Linked DNA regions of Drosophila melanogaster. The protein of the gene in region 1 interacts with the protein of each later gene in a pairwise test. Each region holds a gene or a part of one and is shown in the gene's direction. Other genes may lie near its edges. The genes, in order: CG30472, CG14511 and CG43107.

Region 1 (11,128 bases):
TTTTTTCTAATTTTGTAAGAGAAAATGTAAAAGTTTTAGCTAAGATATGTATCTAATGCCGTGGAGCATACTTCGCTTGACTTAAGATATTTAACACATGACATTTTACAGGGTACCTCAAAGTCGACTCACTTTGCTTCACCGTTTTTTATTTGCATTGGTGGCTGTGACCCTGCCACTTAATTATTTATCAGCCAACAGCGAGAACCTTCAGTGTAAAACTGCAGAACTGCAAAACATTTTCTCCTCGTGTTCATTCACTAAATTAGTTGAAGCATACATCCGTTAGATACGATTCTGATGATGAATGGGCGGTCGGTTAATTGATACCGAAATTCGCAAATGAATACCCATTGTTCATTGTTCGGTTCGTCCTTTTTGGCCGCTTGACTGCTGAACAGACTGAACAGGAACAGGTAGTGGGCAATTAAAACGGCTGAGGCTAAGGGATTTGCTCCTGATTCAGCGCCATTGTGTGTGAGGCGGTGCTGATGTCTTTAATTAAATTTGCCTTTAGCCGCAAATCCTTTTATGCCGCCGCCATTTTGCTGGGGCTTCCTTTGGCATTTGACTTCGCCTTCGTCTGATGCCTTCCCAGTGTTTTTCTGTGCGGATTCCAAGGATGCAACCGCAGTTGCCCCCGGGCATCCCCAGCTCCTGGCGAACAGCGGCGGCATCTTGTGATTTATTATTAAACATGAATATGAATTCCTGGATGGAATGTGCTAGGCGAAGGCTGCAGGGGATTGAGACGCGAGAACTGAGCAAAAGAAAGAAAACGCTGCCAGGACCTGTTGGCATTTTTATGCCAGCGTTTTTATGATTAATTAAAATTTATGCCCGAGCAAATTATGCTTCCAAATACAAAGACCCATAGACCCATAGAGCCATAGACCCATGGACCTATAGAACCGCATGCGTATAAATATTCCTATTCAACGCGCGGGCATCAATTCCTTGTGGACATCAAGTCGCGTGATTAAGATTAAGAGGATTGTCATAAAGAAGAACACAATTTGGGCAACTTAATTGGTGGCACTCGAGGGGCGAGTGGTGAATGGGGAATGGTGAGTGGCGCGAAAAAAGCAAAACTATGCCGAATGTCCGGAAAAAAAAGTAAGAGCATTTCATATTTATTAAAGCAATAAAATAAAGTAGGAACCAACACGGTCGTCGCCCAGATAACGTGTCAGGACCCAGAGAAATATCACCGTGTCACCCACACACCAGCCTACACCCACACAAGCACTCGTCACACACACACACACACACACACACGCACGCAGAAAGAGACACTCCCACGCACACCACCATTGTAGCTTTGGTTGCGGTTAACGTGCAAATTTGTGTGCTTCCGTCACGATTGGCCTACGGATTTGTCGTAGGTCCCTGGGCAAGGATTCGACTCGAATAAGTTAGTGTGGGCAGGGCCATAAATTTAAAATTAACCCTTTACAAAAGGAGCACAGCTTTTGACCTTCAGTCGACGCGCGGCAACATGCTTAACCATAAATCCTAGGGACCGAAAGCCTCTTCTCGAGTTCTGCGAAATTAATCTGCTTTGCAGGTGGCCCGTTTGTGCATTTTAAATCAGTAAAAATAATTCCCAGTCACAATACGATTAATTAATTGAATGAGTTTCCACTCTCGAGCCAAATGGAATAATTCAAGCATATTGGCTCGGATGGCAACCGATAAGGGATATTCGCAGCAAAATGTCATTGCAGTAGCAGCACGCCATACAATAATAAATAAATGGGAAATACGACTTGGCTTCGGGCATTTTTGAAACAGGGCCGAAATGAAACTGAAATGAGGGAATAAGGAACGAAAGTCGAACGGACTGACTCAAGTGGTTGCTTCGCAGTCAAGACAATTCGAAAAATGCTTTTAAAAGGAAATCAGTAAAGGAATTTCGCTTATGGGCAACTGATTGTGCCATCGAATCGGGCGGAACAAGTTGAACAAGTACCGGAGGGTTTGGCGGAACAGGATGGAAGCGATTTTTTGTTGTCCGCTTTTGCCTTTATTTTGTTTTTCTCTTTCTGGCTGAAACACTTGGAAAATTGAATTGTTTTAGATTTTCCTTCACTTTGGGGCTCTCCCTGCCGCAGCGTATAAATCAAATTGGATTTTCTTGTGCACTTAACTCCGATTGACCGAATCGGAAGTAAACCCAAAACTCAATCACAGGCTATCGATGAAAAGTTCATTAGTAGGCTGGCAACGAATTGTTTAGCGGCATTTATTTCAGTAATCTATTGAAATCGGTTGAGGATGGCGTATATTCGAAATTTTCTGAATTCCCCCAATGACTGGACCCGACTTAATGAAAATATCAATGGAATAAAGCCACTGAATAGCTGCTTTTATTTCTTCAGCTTGAAAACGGGCTGCAATTTGATCGCCGGATTCGAAGCATTGGTAAATGTGCTACAAATGTGCAGCATTTACTTGTCGGAGATGGAGGTCAAGACCACAATCACAACTACGGAGTCACCGGATTCGATGCTTGTCACTAGGGAACCGGACGGAGATATGCTGGGACCCAACATGAGAACGCCTATGTTTGAAACTAACCTCTTCTTCCAAAAAGCACTAATCTCGTTGACTATCTTCAGATCAGTGCTACTTATTGTAGGTGCAGAATGGGTAAGTAGCTTTCATACGAGTTCAAATAATACATAATACTATACTCTTTCCAGAGTCACATATCCTGTCTCGTCCTTTGGATTTGTATTACGGTTATAACCTTGTTAATTAGCACTTGTAATGATATCATGCAAGATGACGAGCTGCTGACTTTTCTCTTTTCTACCATTTCTATTTGTGAGTAAAGAAGTAGTAGTAGTATGTGTATACCCCTTCTTAACCCTTAACTTTCGTTTTAATACAAATTTCAGTTCTTGAAATCTATTTCTGCGCAGTGGTTGCCTCCTTGGTTTTGAAATTGCAGCAAAAACTTCGTCGTAACGTGCAGGAATCGGAAGTGCTGTTCACACGAATGGAGGAAGTTTAATTAAATTCAAGATAATTAAACTATACATTTAAATTTGCAAGCTCCTACTTACAATTATTTAATTTTTACTTGTGTTGTTGCATTCCCAAATTGAAAAAGCATGTACTCATAATAATTTGGAAAAAAATACACAATATACTGCAATACTTTGTCATTTTCATATCTAAAACAATGCTATATAATGCTGACTTAAAAGCGTTTTTAGCTTAGTTATATGGTAAAGCATATGGTAATTTAAACAAATATTTCATTGGTAGTTAAGTTATAACATGCCTGGCCACTACAACCAATTTTTGAGCTACATATGTATGCACAGATTGCTACTTAAACATGCGTTTATTGTGGCTAAGTAATTGCATTTGCATTCAAAATCATGAAACATACACGAGCGGCGCGAAAACTTGCACATTTGCATGGGAAAATCCAGCAAATGTGCACACTGAAAATATAAAATATCGGGGTGTAGGAATCTCAAAAATTGATTGCACTGGCAAATTGGACAGGAAACAAAAGGCTGAAACGCTCGTTATCGCGATAACGAGTATTTCATCGTCGAAAATTGAAACCAAATATTGAGAGTATCGAGTTTAAATTCAAATTCTTACTTTTGCGTATGGCGATTTTTTGGGCGGTTCTCGCGAGGAGGTGGCCGCTGCTGCCGTGGGCGTGCCGCGTTTGTTGGGCCGATTCTTTTTGAGAACGATAACGCGCATGATGTGGCAGATATATATATATTTATTTATGTATATATTTTGTGAGAGAGGGGGTGTACGTGTGTGCGTGTGTCTCTCGGCTACTGGTATTTATTTACGCAAAGTGTTTTTAACAAACAACAAATTCGAGGTGTCGCCGTGGTCGCTAGTCTCTCTTTCAATTTTTCAAGTGATGGCCGTTCACAAACGGATTTCCACTCCTCGCGACATCGAAGTCGGATTAAGATATAGCTTTCGGATTTGGATTCGGATGCGAATTCAGATGCGGATACGGATGCGAAGTGTGTTGTGGGTGGTTGGTAGTTGGTAGTATTTTGTGGTTACAAGTACGTGTACGGGTGCTATTGCGACTGCACCCACATTCGGGTGGTGCGGTGCAGGCACAAAGGTCACGAAATTACAAAATGCAAAGCGAGCCGAGCCTCTAGCTCTAGATAGATTTTTACATAGTTGATGTTGCAATTACTGAGTAAGAATAGGTTAAACTACATCTAGATTAGCAAAGAGTATTGGTTATTTACAGTACATACGAGCTAGCTAGATTGATTGAGTTGTGTTTTATTGGCATTAGTTTGCACTAGCTTCTGATTGGTGAAATTAAGCGCTTGGCCACGAATTTCGACTACTTGGCTAGAAATTTGTTGTAGAAGGCAGGCAAAAGATTTGAAGTAATTCTGGCAGTGCTACATTAATTCGTTTTTTGTTTATTTATATTCTTTTCTATTTGTTTTTTGATTCGAATTCGTTGGGCGCACGGTGCGTATGCGTGATTGGTTAATAAAGCTAAGTTATTTTACATGGACTGTCGACTAGTTGGTTGCATTACTATTTTGATCATCGTTTGGTTACTTACGCGCTGCACTCAATTCAATTTATCTTGTGTGTGGCTATCAAAATAGAGAACAACTCGCCTAGAAAAGCCTGCCCTGAACTGCGCTCTAAAATTATGCATATATATTAGGAGGATATATATATATATATGAATGGTGTCTGTTTTCGGGATATATATATATTAATATATTTCAATTTTATTTGGATTTAAGGTTTGTGTTTCGTTTGCATTGGTTTCTTAGCTAGCCCCTCCAATTGCGCGATTGGCAGCCAATCGCACCTCAGTCGCGACGAAAAACGACGACGACGGCGCGTTTACGGATACGGATACGGCTGCGGAAGTACGGCTACGGCTACGGCTACGGCACTACGGCTACGGCTAATTTGTCGAACGGATCACCCAAGAGCGGAGCTGGCGAGCCGCGTTACGTATACGTCGAAGTGCAAGCACGTGACTGACTCGGAGCGACCGTTGCACGCTGCTTTTATAAACAGCTACATCGGGAGATGGCTCGAATGTCTGGCAACGCTTCGCATGCAATTTTCCGCGCGCGCTCTCTCTCTCTCTCTCTCTCTCACTCTCTGTCTCTCTCTTGCTCTCTCTGAAGTGACTTTTCCGAGCCCTGTTCGGCAACAGCTGATTCACTTGCAGGCCCAGAGGTTGAGGTTACAGTCAAAAGCCTGATGGTTTTTCCCAAACTCCCACGCAGTAATAGTTTGTCACACCAGAAAACACAGAAAATCGCACAGCACACGGTGTAATTTTGACTGAGTAACTCTCTTGTGAGGACCGCAAAAAAAAAACAGGGACCTAGCAAATGCAGGACAAAATCAAGCCAAACAGCCGCACTGACCACGCACAAGCTAATCTACCGCAGGACTAAGCGAAAGGCGAAGGACGAACCTGACCCACAGTTGGCTCCTGCTGGCGGCTTTCAGTGCTCCAAAAAGCGAGGGAGATGGCGAAACGCTTGGGTCACATGCGCAGTCGCCAATCAGCTGTTTGACCTACATACGAGCGCCAGTTCATCTGTACTTTCAAGCGTGCAAACGGGGGGCGTGTCGGGCGTCCCGACCCCGCCTAATGGAACTCATTAGATCTCGGCCATGAAAAGTTCACCCAAAAAGCTGTCAGCAACAGGTCTGTGGAAAGCTAAGTGAAAGCTTTTCCATGGCATAAACTTAACTTCGAAGTGGTTTCTTTTGCTGCTTTTCCAGCTTTATCGTGGTATATTTTCCCGCTAAACTTTATAGCTTTTCACCCCGACTAAATCGAAACTCACCTGAGCCCTTATGGCCGCCAAATGGATCTGCTTGGCTCGCAGGTCGAACTTCTTCATGGACAAATCTTCTTGAAGCTCATTGACCTTGTTGTACAGCTGACCCTCGATTCCACGGGTCTGCGTTCGATTTAGAGCCTCGATGGAGTCCTACGAGAGGAAAAGTAACCAGTCAAATTGATTATTTAAATAAATATTTTTGTAATAGATCTTGTAAAAGTTTACAATTTTTAAGAATAAAATGTATTTGTAATATTATAGATCTACTTGTAAAAGAAGGCTAGTTAAAAGCTTTCATAGGCAATACCCCAAATAACATATATTTAACTATCATTAAAAGCAATTTCCTGAAAATGTCTTCTAATGAGAATTGCCAAGGAAATCGCCGCATTTCGGAAAATCAGCATTGGAACAACATAAGGCTCAATTGTAAGGCCCTCCCAAGATTGAAGAGCTTCTTCTACTTTTTCGATTTGGAAAAAGGATGCAGGATTATAGCGGGCTTTGAGGCTTTGGTGAGCGTAATACAGATATTCAGTATATATCGTTTATCCAATCAATCAGTGCCAAGTTATATGATACCTGATCCCTTTTGGATCACAAAAATCGATAGGGAAGGAATAATCAAAAGAATGTTGCTTTATCATACAAGTAATCGTTTTTGCATGGGACTCGGATTGGTTACTGTTCTCAATTCTCTGCTGTTGCTAATTGGAAGCAAATGGGTGAGAGTCAACAGATGGTATTCGAATATAAAGGCTAATACCCATACTTTTTCGTCAAGGGCCACCAGGTTTGCCTCTTTCTTTGGATTTATATAACGGTATTCACCACTCTCATATCGAATATAAATAATAACTTAAGGAACCCAAATTTTGCACAAACTTTTCTAATAGTTCCATCATTGAGTAAGTGCCAAAACGTGAAGTCATTGCAAAAAAAATAAACAATATAACCTCTAACAGCTCTGGAGGGCTATTTCACATTGATAGTCGCATCTTTAATTTGTAAATTCCAAGACAAGCAAGATGAGTGTAACTCATACACCGAAATGCACACTTCAGATGGCAAAGAGTGCAGTTCTATCGAGAATACCGAACAGATATAAGCGGTTTTTTAATTGTATGACTTTACATAGTTTTTTGTGAAAGTTAAAGGATAACAGAAAAAAAAAACAATTGTGATATTGGCCACCCATTCAAATAAAATCTTTGGAAACATAACAAACCATTTTTTTTAAGTACCGACATGGCTGCGATATCGTACTGTGAGCTTTTATCATTTTGTGTATTATTGTGGATTATTCATCTCACCTGCAGCTGACGTATTTGCAATTCCAATTCGATGGCCTCCCGCTTCAGCGACTCCAACGCGGAGCGTTGTGACAGTGTGGAGTGCCGGTCGAAGACCAACTCGTTCCGCAGGCAGGGCGTCATCTCCTGCGGCGGACAGGTGCCCACAAAAACAATCACTTTAGTCCGCCGGACAGGTGTTATATGCACTACTACTCACGTTGTGGTCGCCCGCCTCCTCGCCGACCTCTGCTTGCGGCGATGCAAAGAGCCGTCTGGGAATCTTCTGGGCCTGCGATGGTTGGGCCAGGAGCCGGACGAAGTTCACTAGATCCTGTTGAGGTGAGACAGCTGCGCACTGGTTGCTCAGACTGTTGTACCGCTTAGCTTGGTCATTGGCCTGCGGAAAAATTATGATTTGGACACATTATTGACACAGATGTTTTGGTTTCCCTTAAACTGCAGTTGCATGGAGACTTAACTTATCTTTATCTTTACTTTCATATTAAATTGTGCAGTTCCAATACCCTTAAATTTTATAGTTATCTAGATCCTTAAGCCCTTCTATATTCTTCTTTGTTTGAATTTTATTCCAGTATTTATTGTTGTATATTTTTTCATCGAGCTACCTACCAATTCATATATGTTTTTTTCCATTTCCTCATACCCTACACCGGTAAAAAAAAGTGTCGCAATCATCAGGCAGGACCTGCCCACGCATTAGGCAAATTACCAGGGCAAATTGCTACACCGCGCAATTATAATAATCGGGTACAAATTACTGTCCAGGAAACAAAAGGTGCTGCAGAAATTAACTCGAATTCGAGGTGCCACTGGGCGGGCAACTACCACTATCACACTATACCATGTTTATGGGGTGCGACAACCACCTGCTGCAGTGATAAATCACTGGTCGGCGGGGCACTCACCTTGCCGGCAATTACTTCTGCGCCCTGCATCAGCGAGTCGGACACAATGGCGACCAGGTCGTTGTGGATCTCCTCCAGCTCCTGCATCTGCTGGGGCAGGGTGTCCGTGTGGTAGGCCTCCAGCATTCCATTTGTGGCATGCAGCTGCTGCACGTACGCATTATGGGCGTCGATGTATTCGGTGAGCGAGTGCTGGCTGGGATTCTGTCGGTGGGCCAGGTGGCACTGCTTGTAGTCCACACGGCACTGTGGATGGGGAGAGAATGGCAATGGCAATGGCAATGGCAACGGCAACCAACAAAAGGGAGGGGGTAAAGGTTCACAAGGGTTGGGTGGTCAATTTATGGGTAATCACAGAAAAGGGTAAATTGGCACACGCACAATGGACAGAGCATTTGACGGGCAATTGGACCGGCCCACACTGCGTATGCGATATTTTCTGCTTGAACAGAGTTTTAAGGCATCTTAAAGGCCTGTTCGGTAAGATTACTTTTGGGACTTCAAAACCTTGAGGACTCAACGCTTTTTTGTTAATTAAACTCACCTTTGACAGCTTCTCTTCAGTCTTTGCGATAATAGTCTCAAAAGACTCCCTGTGTGTAAATATTTTACGGCTTTGAACTTTGCGATGAAAGGATTTATCCAGCATTGGTCGCGACACCTAAAGAAGTGGGTAAATAAATTATGTATGGCATATCTTTCAGTCCCCTGCCAGTTTTACGAATGAAAAAAGGGCAAATCATCGTGAAAAATGAAAATTAAATGTGTAAGCCAAGTAAAACAAAGCAAACGCCGCGGCAAAACAACATTATTCGGCACTCGAAAAACATATGTCATTTCCCAAGGCCCCGCAGCGCCACGCCCCCACTAATTAACCATAATTAGAGTCTGCCTTTTATAATGCAAATTGGGATTTTTTTTTGTGCTGCCTCAAGGCCCCAAAAACACACATATGGCTAGCACATCCGATCGATGTGGTAACTGGTACAAATAAAAATTATCATATATTATTATTAGTATAAATCTGGCTATTGTTTCAAAGGGAAAGTAAATCAATGAATTCCCGCATTAAGTTAATTAAAAATATTTTAGGGCAAGTGCACAACAGTCGTCCGTAAAGTTCTATTTTCAGTGAAGGTAACTGAATATTTAACGCGACACGATAATGCCATTAACCCATTTCGGTTTCGGCAACTTTCTCGACGAAAACCGTAATTTAAGGGACTCTCACCTGGCGGGAAAGGACGCTGGCCACGTCGTTGCAGGCCTGTGAATCGGTTTCGACCTCCTGCAGGAATGTTTCCCATGCCTGAAAGATGGCCAAGTGGCAGGCGGGTCTGCACGCCACTCGGTTGGGTTTTTGGCAACTGAATTTGGCTGGGAAAATCGTTTGGGCCACTTACCTTTCTTTGCGTAATTCGGCATTCTTCTTGCGATAATTGGACACCGCAACTTGGAGGGCAGTTGCGTGTTCCTCGTACAGACGGGATAGTGTTTCGGAGAAATCGGATACTGTAATTGAATTAGGTTGAGTGAGCTTTAAGGTCAAATAAAACTAAGAGGCAGTCACGCTTTATGACGAGCCACAAAGTGCATTAGACACACTGAAAGCACCGGAAACGGATATGCCAACAGGGGAGAGGTGGGCACTTCCGGCTAAAGTCTTTGTGCTTTTCTCCCAAGGCAGTGAACAAAAAATACCTTAGACAATAAAATGTATTTATTTATTTACTTTTGAAACATTTAAATGTTTTAAAAACTTTTTACGAGTGTGATTTTTTCACATTTCCCATACTTTGGTTTGCCTGTAACAAAAGTAGCCAGTTTATGCGCAGTAAAGCACAAAAAGTCAGCCTCTTTAAAAGGATTGACTGTCTGTTGGATAATCCATCACATTTACGATTACTCAGGCATATATGAATATGGATGTTTGGCTTTTAGCCACTTAAGCTGCCAGTTTATGGCCCAATCGTTTTATGGCCTGCCAGATACGCGATTATAGCGTCACGGCAACAGGTTGTCAAATGTGTTGAAACTGAAAAGTTTCTGACACTGTTGTAGGCAACTTTAATTTAATCAATAATTTTTTATTCCAACTTCTCTGATTTCACATGCAGTTCACAGCAAAAATGTTATTAAAAACTTTACAGGCTACACAGAACTACTGGAAACTCTGATGTTCGCCAGTGCCAAAGGTGCCATCCGCTGGGACAACTTTCTCCGACAGCGCCGTAATTCAAAGTCAAAGTTATGTCGAAAAGTTGCAGCTGTGTCAGGGGATGTTGTTCGTTGGGTAAACATACTCATAGTTGGAATAGCGAATTTACGAGGCTTTGCTGGCTGAAGAGCCTCTGCCTGAACTGATTTATGTCTCAATCTGACGAACCGACAAAGACAATCGGCAATCGAAATCAATAAGCCATAAAAGCGACTACGGAAACTTATCAAATAAAATGCTGCCACATAAATTGCTTTTCGTTTTCCCTTTCAGGGCGCAACCAACGCCCGCTGTTTGTCACTTTTTTGTGCCACCTGGCGAGCGTGTCAGGTGTGAAAGTCTGGCACACGTCACGTGTACTCCCATGTGTCGGAATGGGATAGGAGTTGGAAATATATTGGCTTCTGGTTTAACTCACCTGTTTTAATTAACTTAAAGTTGACATTGTTCTGTGATTTGAATGCCTCGTTCAAACTGCTGTGACTGTAATCCTTGAGCACGCCGTTGTAGGACGCCATGCTGCCGCCCTGGGGGCTAAGGGAACCACCTCGTGGTCCCCTCCACCCAAAGATCCTCCTCCTACGACTTCTTCGACCACTTGAAGATTTTACCGAAGAACCTGCCGACGACAATATCGTTATCACTCACTGGACTTACAACAAATGTAATCCATTTTTTACTCAAACCAAAAATTAATCAACTCGTAAAACCAAACAATTAAATAAGGAAAACAAACAGAACGCAGCATAAATTCCAAACAAAACGAACCGAATTGAAAGCAAACAAATGAGAATTTCCAAACGAAATGTGATTTGATTTCGGGTGGTGGGAGTAAAGTATCCGTCA
Region 2 (10,972 bases), on another chromosome or scaffold:
CGTGGAGGCGGCGTTCCCCCATGTGTCCGTGGATCAGCTGGTGCCGGCGAAGGCGGCGGTGACCCAGGTGAAGATCCTAACGCACGGCGGTGTTCAGAGCATGGTCTACTGCGTGGACAAGTTGCCTTTGTTCTTCGAGCTGGACGGCGGTCAACTTGTGCCCACCCTGTACACCCTGTGGATCGTTCCGGACATCCTGCCCTATTTCACCACCCACGAGGGTGTGTTACCCAAGCTGACGAACGGAGCGGATCTCATGCTGCCCGGAGTGGTGCCCCTGGGCGTGGGACTGAGCATGTACGGGCACTTCAAAAAGGGACAGTTGAGTGGGTATCTGCTTGGGATTCCCCAGGTAACGAGTATTGATCTCATTGTCTTTTTCAGTGGCCGTAAACCTCACAAACAACAAATCTGCGGTGGGCGTGGGCCAGTTGGCTCGCTCCAGCGATGAACTGTACATGTGCGGAGGTCACGGTGTGGCCATCAAGATGCTCCACCTCTTTGGGGACAAGCTCTGGTCGCATGAGCCCAGTCTGGTGCAGCAAATCCCGCTGGTCAAGACAAAGGCCTTGTCTGGCGAGGATTTCCCTGCTCTTGGGTCTGAGACGGAAAGGAGAAAGACCGCCAGCCCAGCTACTCCCGCTCCTGTGACCTTCGCTACGGTGGCCCAAACCGAGGAACTGGAAACGGAAACTGCTGCTCTGACCTTGGAAAGCCAGGAAGCTCCCGAGTCCGACGAAGAAGCCGTGGAGGAAGCCTCACCAGAACTTATACTCAAGAATGCCTTCCTCTCCGCCTTGAAAAACCATGGAAAGAAGCTGCCCCTGCCTCTGCTGACGAGCAATTTCTACAGACTCTATGTGGTCACGGAGGCCACGGAGCAAATCGACCTGAAGAAGACGCGCTACAAAAAGCTCTCCAACTTTCTGGCCGAGATGGTGGACCAAGGATTCATTGTGGTGCGGGAGGAGAGCAAGGGAGTGGATAAAATCACATCTGTGGACCTGGAGCACCCCGAAGTGGTGAACTTTATAACCGATGTCAAGGCAAGCGAAGCTAATGGAGCGGCGTCCGAGACGCCCCTGTTCCACTCCGAGCTGAAGGAGATGTACATAGTGACCGATGTTACGGCGGCCTTCTTCACCAAGCTGAATTACAAGCGCGGCGAGGGAATCCCGGCGGGTCAGATCAAGAAGATTGTGCGGGAGTACGTGAGCAAACATGGTCTCCTCCATCCGCTGACCAAGCTGGTGCGCCCCGACGACACTCTGATCGAGCTGTATGGTAACAGAGAGGTTTCGCTAAGCGAGATGTGCTCCCTCATCACCAGCAAGATGGAGCACTCCTACCAGATGTGCAGCGGCAAAGATACGAGCGGGAAGCCCCTCATCCAGATGTCCCTGGCCACGCGATCGGGCAACAAGAAGGTGACGCTGGTCAGCAACATCGAGGCGTACGGCATCATCCTGGCCGAGTTCATCAAGCTGTGCAAGCAGGGAGCCGCCGCCAGCACCAGTGTGGTGAAACTGCCGCACCAAAAGCACGAGCAGCTGCAAATCCAGGGCAACCAGGTGCGATTTGTGCACACGCTGCTCACGGAAACGTACAAGGTGCCGCCCAAGTGCATCCTGGGCCTGGAATTGGCCAAGGACGGCAAGAAGAATAAGAAGAAGTGAGCCGGACAATAAATGAAGCCTCCTCCGCCTGTCCTCTTGAGTGTAATAATAAATTATTTATTAACTGTAGTGGGGATGAACCAATTACTGCTACGCGAACAACAACAACGAATGGGATTGGCTACATCTTGAACAGAAGCGTAATCAGAATGCTCTGACTTGTGCCGTATTTGAGTGGATTCTCATGAGGTGTGGCCTGCGTGCTTACTTGGCCTTGCCCTGGGCGGCCACAGCCTCGATGGCCTTCTTCACGGTCTCCTCGTCGCCGAGGAACTGCATGGACACCACCGGCTTGAAGTTCTCGTCCAGCTCGTAGACGAACGGAATGCCCGTGGGCAGATTTAGGGCCATGATGGCGTCCTCAGAAAGGTCTGGATTGGACAAGGATATGGTAAAAAGATGATATGATATATGTTATGTCTCCCATGCTCACTGTCTAAATGCTTGACGATGCCACGGAGGCTGTTGCCGTGGGCAGCGATCAGGATGCGCTTGCCCTCCTTCATCTGGGGAATGATGACGTCGTTCCAGTAGGGCAGTGTGCGTTCGATGGTCAGCTTGAGGGACTCGAACTGGGGGAACTCCTCGGGCTTGGGACCCTCGGCGTAGCGGGGATCCTTGACGATGTTCTCGTAGTACGGATGGCCCGGCTCCATCGGTGGTGGCGGGGTGTCGAAGCTGCGACGCCAGATCTGCACCTGGGCCTCGCCGTACTTGGCGGCGGTCTCGGCCTTGTTCAGGCCAGTGAGTCCACCGTAGTGGCGCTCGTTCAGGCGCCAAGTCTTCTGGATGGGGATCTCCTTGTGGCCACTGGCCTTCAGGATGCTGGCCAGCGTCACCTGGGCGCGGGTCAGCACCGAGGTGTGGGCCACATCGAACTCCAGGCCGGCATCCTTGACGGCCTTGCCGGCGGCTAGGGCCTCCTCCTGACCTGTTTGGGCAAATGTTTAGCGAACATTAAGTATACGCCGTGTTGGGTAACGAACGTAAGCCAATTTAATCTAATTGAAAGGCATGCGTTTAATTTAATTTGATTACTAGGGTTAAAAAAAGGCGATAACCTATCAAATTATGCTCATAAGCATAATCTGAACTTTAGAAACATATGAGATGGCAAATTTTTGACTTTAAAGTGTAACAAACTAGAATTTTGATGCTTCTGAAAATTGCACTGGAAAGCTTTTGTTTGTAGAGACCTATTTTTATCACAGAAAAGTTTGAATGAGATAATGTTGCACTAGGTCAATGAAGATTAATTTGGGTAAATGAAAAGGAATACTATTGTGAAACTGATCAAAGCAAAGGATCATCGATTGGAAACTAGATGTACATCAGATTTTTAATCCCACATATGAGGTTTAAATTTCAAATTGATGTAATCACTCACCCTTTTCGCTGAGGTTGGCGTCGTACCAGCCGCAGAACTGATTCTTCTGGTTCCACTCGGACTCGCCGTGGCGCACCATCACGATCTTGTACTTGCCGCCCATTTTAGCTGCGTTGATCACTCTGCGGATAATTGTGTACTCGTTCTTAAGCTGCCGCCTTGCTGCGACTGCAATATGTGGGAATTCTGCTGAAGTTTGACCTACAAGGGAGCCGTCCAAGGTCGCAGCTGTCAGGCCGCGATATTGCCGTTCTGTTGGAAAAACGTAGTGCGCAGATGCGGTGCCTTCTCTGATTGGACTCCGGAGTATGGTCTTATTGGAATAGCGCGTCAAGCTACCTTCAAATGTCCAATTAGTTTGCGCTGTGCAACAGGTTGGCATCCCCCGCGCAGATGTTATCGCTCGCGTTTGTCATCACTATATTCGTGTTTTGGTTTTTAAATTTGGCTGTTTTTAAATTTTGCTCCCATAAATTCCAACTTTTTGTCACTTAAAGCATGTGCGAAAAGGTCACCGCGCGCTGCACTTGGCCCCAGCTGTCGGGCAACGGGCTGGACCAACTGGTGGCCACCCGCTTGTCCGACGAAGACGTCTTTGTGAAGTGAGACAAAGGATTCCACGCCCCGAAACTGGTTTTTATCAAGTAATTTTGAAACCTCCTTTGTCCGCAGGCCCGACTTGGACGACGTGATCGACGAGAATCGCGCCGTGCTGTTTTCCATGCAGTCGGCGGATCCGCCGCCGCCTTGTGAGCTGCGCTTCCAGATCCCGAACCGCTTCAAAATCGCCGCGCTCACCCTGATTTGCAGCGCTCCCAAGGTGGAGCTGTTCATTGGACCCTTGCAGGAGTACTGCGAGACCATCTACGGCACTTGCGTCGACGATGAGGACCCAGAGGTTGCGGTGCGACCCTATCGCTATGACATGGAAATCGACCGATCCGGGATAAATGACATAAACCTGAAGATGCTCACCTCGGCCAGCGAGATCTGCGTTTACGGAGCCCTGCTCCAGGTGGCGCCGAATCCCAACGGCATAACCACCCAGTTGCCCAGGCCAATGGATGCGCAGCGAATCCAAGAGCTGCTGCAAAGGGGTGGCACGAGTCCCTTGAAGAAGGAGGAGCAGGCCGAAAAGTTCGAGCAGTTCATGAGCCTGATGAAGGGCTATTCCCCGCAGGCGAAGGACCAAACCCAAGAGACTGCACCGCCTTCCACCGATGTTGCAATCCTCAAGGAGCACATCGACATGAGATTTGAGAAGCTGACGCTGTTAGTGTCTAAGAGACTGGACAACTTCGAGGCCCAGCAGACGGAAAAGTTAAACAAAATTATTGCCTTGCTGGAAAAGGAAAAATAAGTAATATACCATTAATTTGCTAATCTGTAATTTCTTTCTTAGCATTGTCATCATTGTATTTTGTAATTGTTGTAAAAGACTGTTGGTGCGAATATTTCGAATGTGATTAGGCAACATATTTAAGTTTGGTTTTGAATGTAATGTACATTAAATAAAATATTCTTCTCTTAAAATCATAAATTTTTTCTTTTTCGCTTGGAATATTTGAATTTCAACCACTTTCGATAGACCAACATCAGCTGTGCCCGAACCGAACTTTATCGATAACCACCTGTTGCATTTGTTTACGTTTTGTATGGCCGAAGAGAAAGTAAGTTGGCTTAAAAGCTCGTCATGGCCCAGATCGTAGGTTAAAGTTGGTGGGAATCGTCTACTTTCGTTGCGCGAGTTCATGAATTTATCCATCCGCGCTATTTCGGCCATCTGCGGCGTTTTCTTGGGCTGCTGCAGTGGCGTCGTCTTCTTGGAGCTCCTGGTTAAACTGGATCCCGGCGCTGGAAACCTTATAACTGGCGCCCAGTTTGCATTTATTGCCCTCGAGGGCTTCATCTTCACCTCGAAGTTTGGCCTGGCCCAGAGAGTGATCAGCCTGCGCGACTATGCGCTCCTCGTGGCCATGTTTTTCCTGACCAGCGTATGCAACAACTACGTGTTCAAGTTCAAAGTTCCAATGACACTGCACATGATCATACGCGGCGGTTCGCTGATCTCCAACATGTGCCTGTGCACGTTGATCCTGAAGAGGAGTTACCGGTTGAGTCAGTACATATCGGTGCTCATGATCAGCGTGGGCATTTTCGTCTGCACATATTTCTCCAGTCCGGATTTGGTGGGTAAGATGGAGAATTTGGATAGTGGCGCCGAGGCGGATACGTTCTGGTGGCTGTTGGGCGTGGCACTCTTGGTGCTGGCTCTATTTGTTTCCTCCTACATGGGAATTACACAGGAGTTGCTGTATCGACGTCATGGCAAGTGCGCCAGGGAAGCGTTGTATTACACCCACCTGTTGCCGCTGCCCGCCTTCCTGCTCATGCATGACGACATACGGACGCACTGGCTTTTGGCGTTCACGGGCGAGTCCTACCAGTTGCCCCTCCTGGGCGTGGCAGTGCCCCTAATCCTGCTATACTTATTGGGCAACGTGCTTGCGCAGCATTTGTGCATCAGCTCCGTTTACACCCTGACCACGGAGTGCAGCTCGCTGACGGTGACTCTGATCCTCACACTCCGCAAGTTCATCTCGCTGGTCTTTTCGATCGTATACTTCCGAAATCCCTTCACCTGGTGGCACTGGCTGGGCACCGCGCTAGTCTTTGTGGGCACCTTGATGTTTGCAAATGTGATCAGAGTTCCGAAATGAAAAAACCAGGCTGTGAAACAGGAATAGGCTTTCCAAAACTTTTTTGTGACGAACAATGTTATAATTCCATTTACATTTACAATTACATTTAAGTACAAATTAAAATTACAAGACTCATAATTGTTATGAAAAGAAGGCATACATTAAAAGTAATGAAAAACGTGATGCTCTGGACGATCTGCCAAGGGCTTTCTCTCTTTGGCGACTCTGAATTGGTAAAACACGCGACATAAATATTACACATAAATGCATTGGTGGCCCAACCCATGCAGTTGCAGCTGCGAAATCTAATACTGCTGCAGCCTTGATCCAGCCAAGCCGCAGAATCCGTTCCTTACGCTTGCGCCTCGTTCTCCAGCCACCGCACGATCGACTTGTAGTTCTTGTTCATCCAGTCGACGCTGGTCTCGATGTGCTCCACGATCTGTTGCACGGGTCTGTCGTAGTCCCAGTGGGCGTCCTTCACGAAGTTCTCAAATTCGCCCAGCTGGAACTTGGAGTTGAAGCCCTTCGTGGCGAACTTGAACAGCGTGTGGATGCTGGACATCTGTGAGCCCATGCTGGAAAAAATGCAAACCCTTTAGTAATGCACGGAATAAAGCGACAATTTCGCCACTTACTAGGTCTTGATCTCCTGCCAGTTGTTGCGCAGAAAATCAAAGGCTATGTTCTGGCCCACTACCGTGGTGGAAACTGCTGCGAATACCCGGAACAAGTCCTGTTTCCGGATATGCTGTCCGGAAATGCCGCGACGCAAGAAACGATAAAGCAACCAGGGCTCCTTGGAGCAGCCAAGTGCATTCAACAGCAAATCCTTCTCCCCAGGCACGTTCGTCTTCAAAAAGCGCTCGAAAGCAAAGTCCCATTCGTACTCGGTGCCGTATTGTATCGCAGAGCAGTAAACGACTCCCCTGAGATTTGGCACAATGCTGAAAAGGAAGTAATAATTTATTGGAATTGTGTTGAGTGTATTAATTACTTCGTTTATTGCTTACGGATTATTTGAATCTGGATTCGGCGTCTGCATCCAGTTCTGGAAGTGCCTGCTCGCCTCCGCGATGCACTCTTGGTGACCTAAATGACAGGCCATGCTCAGAATATCGGCACGCTTCAGCTTCACCAGGATGTCCTCTGATTCGTCCTGCGAGTCCTTAAAGCCCACCTGGTCGTAGACTTTCTTCAACTGCTTAAGCAGATAGTTCTGTGAGAATCAGAAATGTCAAATAATATTTATAGCACGCCCAATGGTTAAAAGCAAACCTTTAGAAGGTCGTAGTCGCCGGAGTTGACGAACATGGAGTCGATAAAAATGAAGTTGCTGATGGCCGCCTTCCACGGCACATGGCCCAATTCATGGCCAAGGTAGCGAGTCAAATTCATGGCGGTTTCATAGGACAGATAAGAACCTCTGGCCAGATTCATCACATCATCGATCAACTGGGCACGGTTCGCAGGAGCAATGTCCTCAAAGTTGTCCACATCCATCAGGTGTTCTGTGATCGCCATCCAGTTTTCTAGATCGTAGTTGACGCGGTAGTAACCTGTCTGTTGAACATTGAAAATGAACCACTTGGCCAAGGAGAGTTCCCTGTTCTCCAGCTCGTACAGCTTGGTGCGCGGCATCCATGTAGTCGGACGGGTGTTGGCAAAATTCAACTCGGAGTCAGTGGTAAACGTAATGGGTATGTACCACAGGAGACTCTCATCCTCCCTGGTGGTGTTGGTGTACACAAAGCGGACCTGCTCCAGACGAATCACATCGGAGTTGGGATGCCTTGACACCTTAACCACCGGATAGCCAGTTTGCAGCGTCCACGTATCCATGATCTCTTTAACACTTCTGCTGTCGTCCAGCAACCCAGAGGATTTGGCTTCAACGGTAAGGAAATGCCACAGATCGTCCTGTGTTGCAGAGTTGTAAGCCCTGAAAGCGGCCCAATTTTAGAATATACGAGTATAAATCGGTTATCATTCTCTAAGGACTTACATTTCCTGCAGGTATTTGCTCAGACCCCGACGGAAAATTGGATTTGTGAGGAAGTGGGCCATCATGCGAATAATAGTTGAACCCTTGGCGTAGGAAATTCTATCGAAGATTTCCGAAATCTCCTGCGGATTAAACACCTCGTGCGAGATCTTATGGGATGTGGAAAGGGCATCCAGTTGGAACACTGCTTGCAGCTCATTAACCACAAACTGGTCCAACTGTTTCCATTCGGGCGCAACTGCATCGGCCGTCAAGTACTCCATGTAACTGGCAAACCCCTCGTTAAGCCAGATATCCGACCACCAGCTCGGTGTTACCAGGTTTCCGAACCACTGGTGGGCTAACTCGTGACCCACAACCGAGGCCACTCGTTGCTTGTTATTGGCCGTGGCTACACCTGGGTCATAAAGCATTGCAGTCTCCCTGAAGGTAATTAGACCCCAGTTCTCCATAGCGCCCGCTTGGAACTCTGGCAGAGCAATCATGTCGATCTTCGGCAGGGGGAACGTTACATTGAAAAAGTCCTGCAGGAATGTGAGAATCCTGGGACCAACGGACAGGGCATACTCGGCCGATTTGATGGCATCCGCTCGAGCCCAGACGGCAAAGTTACCGGATGAGATGTGCGTAAAGTCGGATATGGCATAGGCCACCAGATAGGTGGACATGGGCAGCGATTCGGCAAAGTGATCCCACACATAGCTTGGCATGGTGGCGCTAAGAAGATCAAAGATTACACTTAAATAGAATGATTACTTTGATAGCAAAGGCAATACTCACTGATCGTTGCTGGACACAATGGGCATGTTGGATATGGTGGTCATGTTGCGAGGACGAGCGATGTGCAGCGTAAAGTTGGCCTTCAGCGCGGGCTCATCGAAACAGGGAAAAGCTCGTCGGGCATCTGTGGCCTGAAACTGGGTAGAAGCTACCCACCTTGTCTCGTTGTGCACCTCGTAGGAGCTGCGGTAAAATCCCTGCAGATAGTCCTCGATAATGCCATCAAAGCGTAGATGCACCACGTACTCCACATCTTTGAGCAGCTTGTCATACAGCTCGATCACGAAGAACTGTTTGGCCCCCACCAGGTACTGTTTGTGAATCCGCAGACCGTCGCCTTCCGGTTCACCATTGTTCTGCACTCGGTGGACGGAGGCGTCGCTACGCGAAATGTTCAGCTCCTCAGCGTGCATAGTGATGTTATAGCAATCCTCCAGCACCCTTATCCTTATCTGAACACTACCGGCAAAGGTGAAGTTGCCGCTGAGCTGCGGTTCGATTGTGATGTTGTATTTAAGCGGGCGGATGGAGTGCGGCAGGCGGACATCTCTATCGTATTTAGGTGTGTCATCATGTCCAGCCTTTAGCCTCCTCAAATGGTAGCTGGTGCAAACAACATCCTCATCGGAATCGGGCTCCAGTTCAGCGCAAGTGGCAAAGTTGTAGACAATAAAGCCCACTGCTAGCAGGGTGCAGATGAAGAAGGAGGCTAGCAGAATGGCGGTGGTCAGGGACACACTGTAGCGACGCCCGCCTTTCGAGAACGTGGTGGTAGTGGTGGGCGTAGCGGCATTCATGGGTCGGCTTTCCATGTTCAGATTCTCATGGAGCGGTATCTCCTTAACGACCATGATGGCTGCAATAGAAGATGAATCAAACTTTATAATGATGAACATAAACCAATAACTAAAACGGAAGATTAAGTCGTAGCCTAATAAGGTAAATGCAGTTCCCAATTCATAAACAGGAAGAAGGATCTGGGCAACCACTTCCACAACCACTTCCGCTGTAGCTTTCAATATGAGCCCAAGTAATATGATATCCAACTGCAGGTTGCACATTCTGCAATCTCGGGGTTCCACTTAAGTGGTTTCTCTGGTCCGGTGCCAACCCCTTTGGCTATCTGGTGTTTCGATTAAATTGCGTAAATTGGGCATGAGCCATGTCCTTGTGGCTGACAAGCGAAGCCACAGGAAGGGGCTTGCGAACAGGGCTTGCGGTTTTCGAGTAGGAGACCGTTTAGTTTGCTGCTCAGAAGGGGTCGTAGAGAACGTAACTGATTCATTAGCTCATCGTCGATGGGGAAAACAAGTGTATGATTTTACAACGAGTAGCAAAAAATCATTGCTCACGTAATAAGCAAAATGATGTATTATCCAGCAGAATATCTTAGTCGATAAAGACGTTGTTATACGCTACTTAAACCAAGAGCGCTTGGTTCTGGTTGGGTAAAGTATTTGAAAAATCTGAAGCAATTGTTCTTGATGTAAGGATTAATGTCATTAATAGGTTTATATGAAAAAGGGTTGGAATACTACCTAGTTTTTGTGCTCGTGCTCAATTGTAAAAATGAAACACACCCACTAAGACTGGAAAATATTAATGGCTGGCTTACGCGGCGACTTAAATATAAGCTTAAGTCACCTAGCGGGTTTTTTAGTGGAGCTCCGTTGGGTAGCCACTTGCAACTGGCTGGATGGGAAGGGTGTTTCCCACTGCCAGTGTCATCGACTGAAATATATATTTAAATTCGCAATATTTCCCATTCAGAAGTTGTTGCTGGAGTTGGAATATGCGTAGGGCATTTCCAATTCCCCGTATCAAATCCAAAAGCAACCCACACAATTATGATGATTTTAGACGTAAATTAAAGCAAGGCGATAATTGATTTTTACACTTAATAACTTAGGAATTATTTTTAAATAGGAAGAGCGTTATAAATACATGTTAATAGATCGCGATCGTGATCTTAACAATTAGTACGATATTGGGAAAGTCGAATTTTAGTCAATGAAAGTGGGAAAAGTTTCATTTAAATTAAGAAGAAAGGAATATTTGTATATGCTCTAAAAATAATCTGCTAGAATAGCTATACATTTCGGTTTACTATTACTATGTCTGATTGAAGACGTTCCTATCGCGATGTCAATGGCCCAGGGGACCCATTCTTGGGACTACTTTATATACTAAAAGCGAGTTTCCTCAGCAGCCTCTCAGATTGTAGCTGAACACAGATGTCTCCTCGTAGAGCAGCGCTATTATCAATTGGCAAAAGTTTAAGCACAAATTGAGCGGGCAACAACAACATTGTCGTAAATCAACTTATATATTCATGCAAATACGCCCGCCGGCTAATTGAGTTATGGCATTAATTTGATCAGCTTCTGTAGCATTTGCAGCATCTGCAGCTCCCTGCTCTTTC
Region 3 (10,478 bases), 1.7 Mb from region 1:
TTACGCTTTATCCCAAAGCGAAGAGAGAGAGACATTTATTGTCCATTAATCTTAAAGTCACTAGGAATCGTTCAGTTCCTTTTGAACTTATCATAATAGCTTTAAAGATAATATTATGGATACTGTCCCCTAATTATAATATATACAAATTAACCGTCCGTGGTGGGGATGCATAAGGAGTTCACAGTATTCTCTTCAGACGTCGGAGGAAAATGGATTAGCGGCATGGGGGAGGGCTTTCCACAGAAGATAGCAGCGTCTGAGATCATCTTTCTACATTCCGAAATGGAAGTGGGGTTGGTTTTCTACACATCCTCTGCAAATATCTTGTCAGAGTGACTTGGTTTGACCTTGACACCTATAGACTCACAAACATATTTAAATTTATTTGCATAAAAGGGGGCACCACTCAGAATTCGCTCTATCCGTTTCTACCGAGCGATCATCGAAGCCCTGCGTCCCGAACGATGCGAGGCACCACAAAGAACACTGGGCAAATCCTCACGCTGCCGAATAGAACGATTCAACTCATCAACGCGGGTGCACTTGGCTTTCAGCTAGTGTGAAAGTATGTGAAGACTGACTACAGAAATGATCCTGTGAAGTATAGTCTTAAGTTTTTGCTGCCCAACCTGTGGATCTTGGTGCGCTGCGGGCCAGAACTAGTTGAGAATCACAAGAGTGTGCGCATGAACAAAATGAACAGCACGTGGGGGGACAGGCGAAAGATGTATTAGTGCGTTGATATTATAGGGTGGGAATAGGTTCTGGTTAATTTCTTGAGTGTCTTACAACTGTTGTTGGAACTGATCGGAAAAATACAAAGTAAATTGTAAACAAAAAAAAACTTGGCAGCGGTGGGATTCGAACCCACGCCTCCGAGGAGACTGGTGCCTTAAACCAGCGCCTTAGACCGCTCGGCCACGCTACCATGTTGTAGATTATGTCAAACGCTCAACAAGAGACGAGGCTAGGAAGCAACAGAGGCGTTCTAACAAGTTGTGCGCACATATGAAGTATCTGAGTCTGCATGTTTGAACTATTTTTATGGACGCAACACCTTGTCTTTATTTTCCCACCCACACCGCTCCGCATATAAATGCTCTCATTTGGAAAAAAGGAATGTCAATCAAACGAAATCAATTTCTGGCGCAAGCCTTACTCCTTCGCCGCTCTGCTGCATTAAAATGTTTATTATATGTATTTTGCAAAACTGTCAGCGTTTTTTCCTGGCAGCGTCAGCTTAGAAATGCGTTTAAAATTCAAATGAAAATGCGAATTTATGCGTGACAGGCGGTGGTCGTGGTCTCTTCGCTCACACATGCAACCGCAGCAACAATTTCTGGTCTTGGGCTGACTGGCGGCGTCCCGTTGTTGCAGCCATAAACTGAAGCCGGCATCGGAGTTGGGCAAAAGACTCAGCAATGAAATTAGAAAATTGCAATAAAAATCTTTGCACGGCACGGGCACGAGAAGCAAAACAAAATAAAGTCTGCGGTTTCCATAAGGGTGCTACCCATAGCCGAAATAAGGGGTTGTGAGGCAGCATTTGCGGTTTCATTAAAATGCCACCGAAAAAGGGAGCAAAAAGTCGGAAGCCGCGTCAGCAATGGGAATATTTTGCCACACACGTGGATTTGTATATGAATTTAAAAAGGAGCGACATGGAAATAATTATAAAATAGTTAAATTTCCACGCCAGACAACTGTTGGGAAAATACAAAAAATCACGTACAATCCGCGTGGACAGAGGCGAGTCATCTGAATCCGGCCAGGTAAAACGCTAATGGAGTTAATTGAGGGCATTATCAAGAATGTTGGGCAGCTGGTATGTTGGAATCAAATTAAATTTCAAACAATTGACAAATTGAAATTCCACCGACGGAAACTGAACAATAGAAGCATTCCAAGCGCTTTAGAAGAGGTTAGACGGATGTCCACTTAATATGCTCGCCATCAAGGAGCAGTAAATGAAATGAATGACTAGACAAAATAGTTTTGTCAAGACCGCAGAGCTGCGAAATCACTTGGGTCAGTAAGAAGTAGTTGTGGGAGAAATATCTCCAAAGAAATGCTGGAATAGCACAATTTCAAAGTATAATTTTCGGCCAGACGTTTGAAAACAAATCAGCTATTACATTCTCGTTTTGTCTCTTGATGTGCGTTTGACATAGACTACAACACGGTAGCGTGGCCGAGCGGTCTAAGGCGCTGGTTTAAGGCACCAGTCTCCTCGGAGGCGTGGGTTCGAATCCCACCGCTGCCAAGTTTTTTTTATTTACAATTTCTTTTATATTTTTCCGATCAGTTCCAACAACAGTTGTAAGACACTCAAGAAATTAACCAGAACCTATTCCCACCCTATAATATCAACGCACTAATACATCTTTCGCCTGTCCCCCCACGTGCTGTTCATTTTGTTCATGCGCACACTCTTGTGATTCTCAACTAGTTCTGGCCCGCAGCGCACCAAGATCCACAGGTTGGGCAGCAAAAACTTAAGACTATACTTCACAGGATCATTTCTGTAGTCAGTCTTCACATACTTTCACACTAGCTGAAAGCCAAGTGCACCCGCGTTGATGAGTTGAATCGTTCTATTCGGCAGCGTGAGGATTTGCCCAGTGTTCTTTGTGGTGCCTCGCATCGTTCGGGACGCAGGGCTTCGATGATCGCTCGGTAGAAACGGATAGAGCGAATTCTGAGTGGTGCCCCCTTTTATGCGAATTAATTTAAGTATATCTCATTATTGTGCTTATGTTCTTTATAGTATTTAAATTGTTTTCGGATTTAGTCTCCATGTTCATGTGACATAATTTTACCTTGTGCACTCCTACTTAAAGAACGTTTTATACTGCTATAATTGAATATGCAGCGCAGTAAACCCTTCGGTCCCCTGGCAGTAATAATATTGTTCTTTCCGACCGCTCTAAACACTGTTGCTGCTGTTGCTCTGCAAAGCAATTAAAACAGCACTTGAGGGGCGACCCTTTTGCCGGTACGCTTGTTGCCAGTTTCAAGTGTTTTTGTTGCACGTTGACAGTCCGTTAAAGGTGACACAGGCGCCACCCCACGAGAATTACATATAAAACATTTTAGTGGGAAGCAGAGTTCCGCTTTTTGTTGCTTCAAGTGCGCTTCGTGCTTAAGACTTGGCAGTGAGTGGTCGAAAAAACTGTAAATTTGTATTAAAATTTTCGCTAATGGTTGTGGGGGCGTTGGAGCTCTAATTACTCAACGCTGCATATGAATGGTCCTCGAGCGAGGGCGTGATTTTTGGCTTAATTCAGAGCTGCAACGATCTCAATTAGTGGATGATGACTACTTGCAAGTGCCATCAAGTAGGTCCTTGGCGAACTTTTCCGAGTTCGTGTTTTGGTTGGCAAACTGCTCCACTTCGCCGAGATGCCCCCAATCCTATACGTAAGACTATAGTGCATAAATATTTGAGTAGCTTGTCTGTTGCACGCAACAACAATTATGTGTTGCCTAGTTTTTGTCAACTGTCCCATTTGGTTCTGCTCTGGGGCCTCGTTTTTTGCCAATTCTGTTGCCAAAGACGAAACAACACGTAGTGAAAATTTATTTAAGCAATGCAAAGCAAATACGAGTGCCAGTTTGGGTACAGTGCGTTTCATGACAGGCAAGTTATACATATGTGGTGACCCGGAGATCAATAGGAATTGAAGGGAAGGTATTTATTACTTTAGAATTGATGAATTATTAACATTAACTGTAAATATCTTGACTAAAGGTAATTCTGCGCATAGAATAACATTGTGAAACACAGTGTACCTCTTTTGGTTCACTTACAAATGTCGTATTTTTTGAGTGCTTACATAAAAACACATTTGAAATGCGGTTAACGGAAGGCAAAGGAAGTCGAAGGGAAATGGAAAATGGAGCCGAGGGAAAAAGAGAAGCAAGCACAGCACAGTCGAGGCAGCGCCACCTAGGGGCCCGAATTGACATCATTATCGTCATCCCCGGGCCAATCGATGATGATGATGATGATGCTGCCACTGATGGCAATGCGGCTGATGCCGTAATTGATGCCTTTGCGACATGCTTTCCCAAAGTGTTTACGTTGGGAATTACCCATGTGTGTCACTCGGTTGTATGTGCATGTGTTGGTAAGGGGTGTGTGTGAGCAGGGGCATGGGACCACGCCCCCAGCTAGTTGACAGCCAGCCGTTTACGTGCACTTAATGAAATGTGCCCCAAAATGGAAGCACGTACCGGGCATCTATTTAATGAGCCCAGCAAGAGGTTCTTCCTGCGCAGAAATTTCGAGAGGGGTCGACTGCAAATGGCTGGGTGGAATTTCTAGAATATCTAGTGTTTGAGAGTGGGCAGAGCTCATGAAATTTTTAAATGTCGCAGCTTAAATTCAATTTAATTTAGCTGCAATGGCTGCATTATTCAATGGCACTCACACGTAAGCGGCTCAAGAAAGTCCCCCAAAAACCTCCTAACACCATCGAAAACCTCAGACCAAAAGCACCAGCTCCAACCGCAGTTTAAAATTCATGTGAGCTTTTCAACAATTTTCCCAAACAAAATGCGATTAAATGTGCGGAAAATGCTGAGCTCTTGTTCTCGGTTTTCCCATGTTGTTGCTGGATAAGCCACAATGGGTTAAGGCAATGTCTTGTTTGCACATGTGTCGCTAGGGGGCGCCACCCCGTAGACCTCCGCACGTCGCTTCAAAAGTCGGATATGTCGGAAAAGTCGGAAAAGGAGTTAAAGCGCACACAGCACACACACATGCCGAAGGTGCAAAAATGCGTTAAACATAACATGCTAATTCCTGGTGCCTCCAGCTTCAATCTTTCACCTGCCCAGGTGAAATTCCCACACCCACTTATATACATTTATATGTATGTATGTATGCAGGAGCTGCCATCCTTGGGCCCTCGGAGATCGTCCTGCGGCAGGACTCGTTAGCTATGTAATACGAGCGTTTTGTGTGCCATTTGAGACCGAAGTTCTTCTCTATTTCCTGCCATTTGCCTTTGTGCTATGTGTTGGTTTTTATTCCCTGCCAGAAGGTATTTTCATTTGGCTTTCGGCAGTTATGGTAGTTAAGGCTTTTCTGTTTGAAACAATTCTATTCTTTTAACAACTATTCTATTTTGAAGAAAGTTAAGCTTAATTGTTTTTTTATATAATCGGGTATTATTGTCATGGATCTTATGTTTAATTTTCTTTCTTCTGCATTTTGACTTAGCTTATGAATTCACTTCGAATTCACTAAATATAATTTGGAACTGATTCATTCCATCGATCGTAAGTTTCGTAGCCCTGAAAATATATATTTTTTAAGCTTTTGAGAGCTTTTCCCCTCTCTTATTTATTTACGTGCAATCAGTTGATTCTTGCTTGCCGCCAGTTTAGAGTGTTTTTGTTATGAACAGTTCCAAAAACGATGTCCGTTCTTCCTTTAAATACGGGCCAGCTGTCCGGATCGGAATCGCCGTCCTGGTGCTCCACACCGTCGGCTGGCTGGGTTGGAAGGCGGTGAACCAGGGTGCGGAATCCAAGGAGGCAGCAGCGAAGGCCCAGCAAGAACAATTGCGAGCGGTATTCGCAGAAAAGTGATATAACTATGGATGATAACACCATACTGGTTAGCAAACCACCACGGACTGAGTGCATTTTAGATAGTTATTGTTAGAACCCTAGACAACTAAGTGTATTAAAAGAAATAAAAGGAATTGTTTGCTTGTTTGTTTTAAAGATTTTATTTTAAGCTTACCGTTGCTAAAAGCTTTTTATACCCTTGCAAAAGGTATATTGATTTCCGTCAGTATGTAAATAATCGAAAAATATAAGGAAACAAATTAGTTTCAGTTATACCATTTTGAATTTAATTTGATAACAATCGGTCGAATACAAAATAACACATATAGCTGCGTAGTCTGGCAGGTTTTGATCATAAAATAATCGTATTCGTATTATGCTGCAATTGGTAATTTATTAAAACGGTCACAAAAACATATGTGTACATTTTCGCAGTGTGACTTATTTTGACTTGACTTGCTTATATATGCTTATGCTTATATTGTGCTTAACATGGGTTACTTTTAAAAATACAAGTTTCTCCGCATATGTATGTACTGATGGCTAACCAATATTTACTGGTCAAGTTAATACATTTGGTAAATTTTAAGTATTGTCTTTTAAAAACGATCAGAGAGAGTGGCTTTGGCTTTCGCAATCTCTCCGAAAGCCCTCCAGATAAAAGCTTTGCCAGCTTTAGACTGAGAAATCAGCAACATATAAGCCAAGCTAGATTCAGTAACGCAGTTCCCAAGCCGGAGGCTAGTAGTCGAGTCACCTGGAGAAAACCGCGAAGATGCTATCAAGATCCGTGCTGATCGTAGTAGGCCTACTAATGCTGAGCTGGCAGTGGACGATGGCCATGCCGCCCCTTCCGAAGAACCAACCCAGCGGAGTATCTATTAGTCAGCCCGATATACCGGGAGCCTCGGATATTTTGGTGCAGAGCATCTTCAACATCGATCCATCGCTGTGTCCCAAGGGGTACATACGCACGGGTCCACATCACACGTGTCGTAGGATAGCCTAGGAAGACAAGCTCTGAAGATCGATTTAAAGTTCAATATCAGAACGTGCTACAAGCTGTGTTTTTATTGATACTTAAATAAATTCTATATAAATACTTGCAATTCTCACATACATATTTAAAAAATACGACACATTCGGTTTATATAAGTACAGGTTCATTAAAGTTAATCAACTGATTGTTGGCACTGATGAAATATTGTTTAATAACATTGTTATATTTTATCTGTTTACGCTGGTTTTCGGCATCGATCTAGGTACAGTTGAAAACCAGGCGAGCATTTCTTTTCCACTTGAAGAAGTAGTTGTATCGCCGTCCAAGTGATCAGATATAGCCATCTTTTAAGTTGGAGCGCCATTTCCATACAATGCACTTCGTACAACAATCGCTTCAAAACTAATGTTCTACGGCGATCAAAAAAGTTAGCTTTTATGTAGGGATTTTCCCTGTTATGTGTGTGCTCTTCAAGATATTGATAAAAATGCGCATTCCATTTATTTGATTAGTCAATGTAACCAATTACACACAGCTTTGTAATTATACAACTGTAATTCAATATTGTAGAGATAACGTTTTCTAAATTGATATATTTCAAGAAAAATGATAACGTATTGCAGCTTAATTGCATTCAGCTGATTAATACAATTTGTGATGTTCAAAAGCTGTTACAGTGGTATACGTAAGCTACTACGAAGTCATTTTTTTACCGAAGAGCATGCTGAGGTAATCTCTGGGAAATTTGTACTTCCAATCTTGCATAAACAACCTTATCAGTTGAATAAAATGCCCCAAAAATTGTATGTCTCAATTATTACACATAATGACAGATTTAATGACACAATGAAATATGTATTGTGAACATGAAACAGTATTAATCAGAATTTCATTTGAATCCGAATTCCCTAGGCTTCCTTCCTGCAACGTCCTGCCATGAGCTTGAGTCCTTCTGCACACTTGGGATCCAGGTTGAAGAGACTGCGCTGATTTACCGACTCTGGACTTGCTTCCTCAGCATCCGACTTGGGATCTCGGTTGGCTCCAGGCGCTGTGCTCAATTCTGGTGACAGAAAATCATGGGTGTTGAAGAGGTCGTTGATGTTTTGGTCAACATTGTCAGAAGATTGAGCTCGCCCTGGAATAGGTTGGATCACAGAAGACTGCGGATGCCCGGGAATCGGTTGAATTGTCTGCGCTCCGCCAGATCCCGCAGTTTCGTAATCCTGGCCGGGTCGAGGCTGCAAAGTCTTGGGGGACTGGAAATTGAAGTCGGAAAAGTCTTCATCTGCGCTTCCGGGACGCGGTTGTATGGAATTATTAGAAGTACCAGGTTTCCGTCCCTGGTTTAGACCTGGTTGTTGAAACTCTCCAGAATTCTGGTCTGGTTGTTGGAATCCTCCAGAACTCTGGTCTGGCTGCCGGAATCCTCCAGTACTCTGGCCTGGCTGTTGGAATCCTCCAGTACTCTGGCCTGGCTGTTGGAATCCCCCAGTACTCTGGCCTGGCTGTTGGAATCCCCCAGAACTCTGGCCTGGTTGCTGGAATCCTCCAGTACTCTGGCCTGGCTGTTGGAATCCTCCAGAATTTTGGCTTGGTTGCCGGAACCCCCCATTATTTTGGCCTGACTGTTGGAATCCGCCAGCATTTTCATTTGGCTGTTCGAATCCACCAGGGTTTTGGCCAGGTCGAGGCTGTAGGGTATTTGGATCACCACCCGGCTGCTGGGGTTCCAATCCTCGAGGGTAGGTGGGTAGCTCCTCATGGCTGCCAGATTGTTGATGTCCTGGCGCCCTTCCAGATGGTTGTGGTCTATTGAATTCATTTCCTGGCTGCTGAAAACCTGGTTGGCCCCTGTTGAAATCTCCACCCGGTTGCTGGAGGCCTGGATGTCCCCTGTTAAAATCACCTACAGGGTAGGGATATTCCTGTTGTCCTCTATGAAAACCACCTCCATGTTGGTGAAATTGACTGCCAGGTTGTCCTTGAACTGCACCGACGTTCGGATAATACGGTTGACGACCTCCTGATGGTTGATTATCTGGATAATACGAAGGAGGCGGTGGAAAACGACCGAAGACAAAGGGAGGTGGTCCAATGGATCCTGGGCCATATCCTGACCCATGTACGTGATGACCATGGTGGCGATGATGGTTCCTTAATAGAAAAAAAGTATTAGTGATACAAATATTATAAAATCATAACAATCTTATTAATTAATTTTAAATACTCACGGATATCCATGTCCGCCGTTTTCCACGTAGTAAGGATTCTGGGGACGAGCTGAAGTCCATTGTCCACTGATTAAAAGGATCAGTGACATAGCCAACCTTATAGATAAGAGTTGCAAAAACATTTTCGACACGAAATCGACCCAACGGCAGCGTTGAATATTCAAAACAGACTGAGCAGCGCTGTCGAGTCGAGAACAGACGATCTAACCGAGTTTAGTATTTATTATGAGCCGCTGATAAGCCAAGTTCATGACAGCAGATAAGGCATCAAATTACATAGCAGAAGAGTAGGGAATAACTGATGCAGCTGAATGCACCGGGAATTGTTTGAGTTAGACACTGACTCACAGTGATGGCCACCAAACTAAAATTACTGCGTTTTACACGACGCTAAGTTTCCCCCAATAGCGTTTCTCCCACAATTGTGATTTGGGTTTTCTATGGGTATTTTTGTCTGCCTCCGAATCGTTTATAATAGTCACCGAAAAAACCATTAATCAATCAAAAGTTCTACACAAATATCACTTTATTGGCTAACATCAATCTTAGCGACTACAGATTACGCCGGCTTTCTGCATCGTTTTCCGAACAGCTCAAAGCCAGGCTTACATTTTTGGGTCGTCTCCAGCAATATTCGGTTGTCTATAACTGGCAGCACAGTGGTGTTTTCATTAACCAGCTCCTCCGATCCGCTGGTGATCTGTTCTGTGCTGTTTGTACTTTCCAAACGGAGTGCTATTGTGGATGCGGGTTCCTCAGTTGTCGTTGTGGTCGAGTATGTGAATCTCGAGCTGGTATCGTCGTCATCCTTTGGAAAAACGATGCGATCGTTACCACTGGGCCGTGTTCTCGCCTCGGTGAGGAGGAAGACCAGCGGTAGGATGCACAGCACCAATGGATTAATACGTATCAACATTATCTCCGAGATGCACGCTCGTTTGCTACGATGAAGCTTCGATGACTGAGCGCGGAAACAACTGGCTGGCCATTTACATTCAGATTTTCATTCCCAGCGAAACCAGATAAATGATGGGAGCAAATCGTTGGGAGACAACAATAAGAATGGCAAGGGAGCTCATAAGCTCTCCCATGAAAACAAAACGTAAACAAAGCAGAAGAGTAGCGTTAAGCTTTTCAGATATATCTCAGCTAGTCTACACTGACAGAACTGAATTATCATAAAGCTTTTTTTTAATGAAATATGTTGGTGCCCAGCTATTTCGAACGTTTTTTTTTTTTTTTGTTGATTTGCAATGCAATAATTTACACTCAATACTTTTGAATTTATTTCTTACATTTTTGTCAATTAATTCTCACTTCTTTCCACTTTTATGGCTCTAATCTAGGCAATTTTCCGGCAACGATCTTTTACTGTCAGAGTAGTGCCGTTTGGACAAATTCGCGTTGTTTCCAGGACAATTCTAGGCTCAATACCCAAACTAGTGGAATCGCTAGCAATGGTTGGTTTCGTATTATCTGACTCTGAGGGAAACGCAAACTGATCGCTAGACACTCGAGCTGCACGATTTGTATCCAATGCCAGACACAGCCAGACAAACAAAAATAGCATCTTCGGCCAGGGAAGACGCCGCGTAATTGCCATCGTAAAGTTGGTTTTGTTTATTTGCAATCGACAGAGTCTCTGAAGTCTCAGTTTCCGG

The links.
Region 2: the proteins of CG30472 (region 1) and CG14511 interact in a two-hybrid assay, tested with the Drosophila melanogaster proteins (one large-scale study listed by BioGRID).
Region 3: the proteins of CG30472 (region 1) and CG43107 interact in a two-hybrid assay, tested with the Drosophila melanogaster proteins (one large-scale study listed by BioGRID).

Annotation. Positions count from the first base shown.
Region 1 is NT_033778.4:15,419,124-15,430,251, reverse strand, and holds CG30472 (uncharacterized protein), read left to right. Parts: upstream 1-6,112; 5' UTR 6,113-6,196; coding exon 6,197-6,568; intron 6,569-6,627; coding exon 6,628-6,751; intron 6,752-6,808; coding exon 6,809-6,951; 3' UTR 6,952-7,067; downstream 7,068-11,128. Other genes in the region: CG34188 (uncharacterized protein), read left to right, coding at 2,278-2,652, 2,706-2,829, 2,904-3,019; Stacl (Stac-like), read right to left, coding at 5,847-5,993, 7,157-7,282, 7,356-7,535, 8,065-8,310, 8,609-8,725, 9,296-9,401, 9,468-9,576, 10,701-10,901.
Region 2 is NT_033777.3:29,140,644-29,151,615, reverse strand, and holds CG14511 (uncharacterized protein), read left to right. Parts: upstream 1-4,722; 5' UTR 4,723-4,814; coding exon 4,815-5,783; 3' UTR 5,784-5,938; downstream 5,939-10,972. Other genes in the region: eIF2D (eukaryotic translation initiation factor 2D), read left to right, coding at 1-326, 385-1,676; Pglym78 (phosphoglyceromutase 78), read right to left, coding at 1,881-2,047, 2,110-2,607, 3,064-3,166; CG11882 (uncharacterized protein), read left to right, coding at 3,562-3,665, 3,736-4,423; superdeath (suppressor of ER stress-induced death), read right to left, coding at 6,118-6,343, 6,404-6,712, 6,779-6,984, 7,044-7,707, 7,771-8,487, 8,551-9,406.
Region 3 is NT_033778.4:17,135,753-17,146,230, reverse strand, and holds CG43107 (uncharacterized protein), read left to right. Parts: upstream 1-5,365; 5' UTR 5,366-5,409; coding exon 5,410-5,601; 3' UTR 5,602-5,736; downstream 5,737-10,478. Other genes in the region: CG43103 (uncharacterized protein), read left to right, coding at 6,359-6,592; Gbp2 (Growth-blocking peptide 2), read right to left, coding at 7,492-8,740, 8,818-8,939; Gbp1 (Growth-blocking peptide 1), read right to left, coding at 9,377-9,733.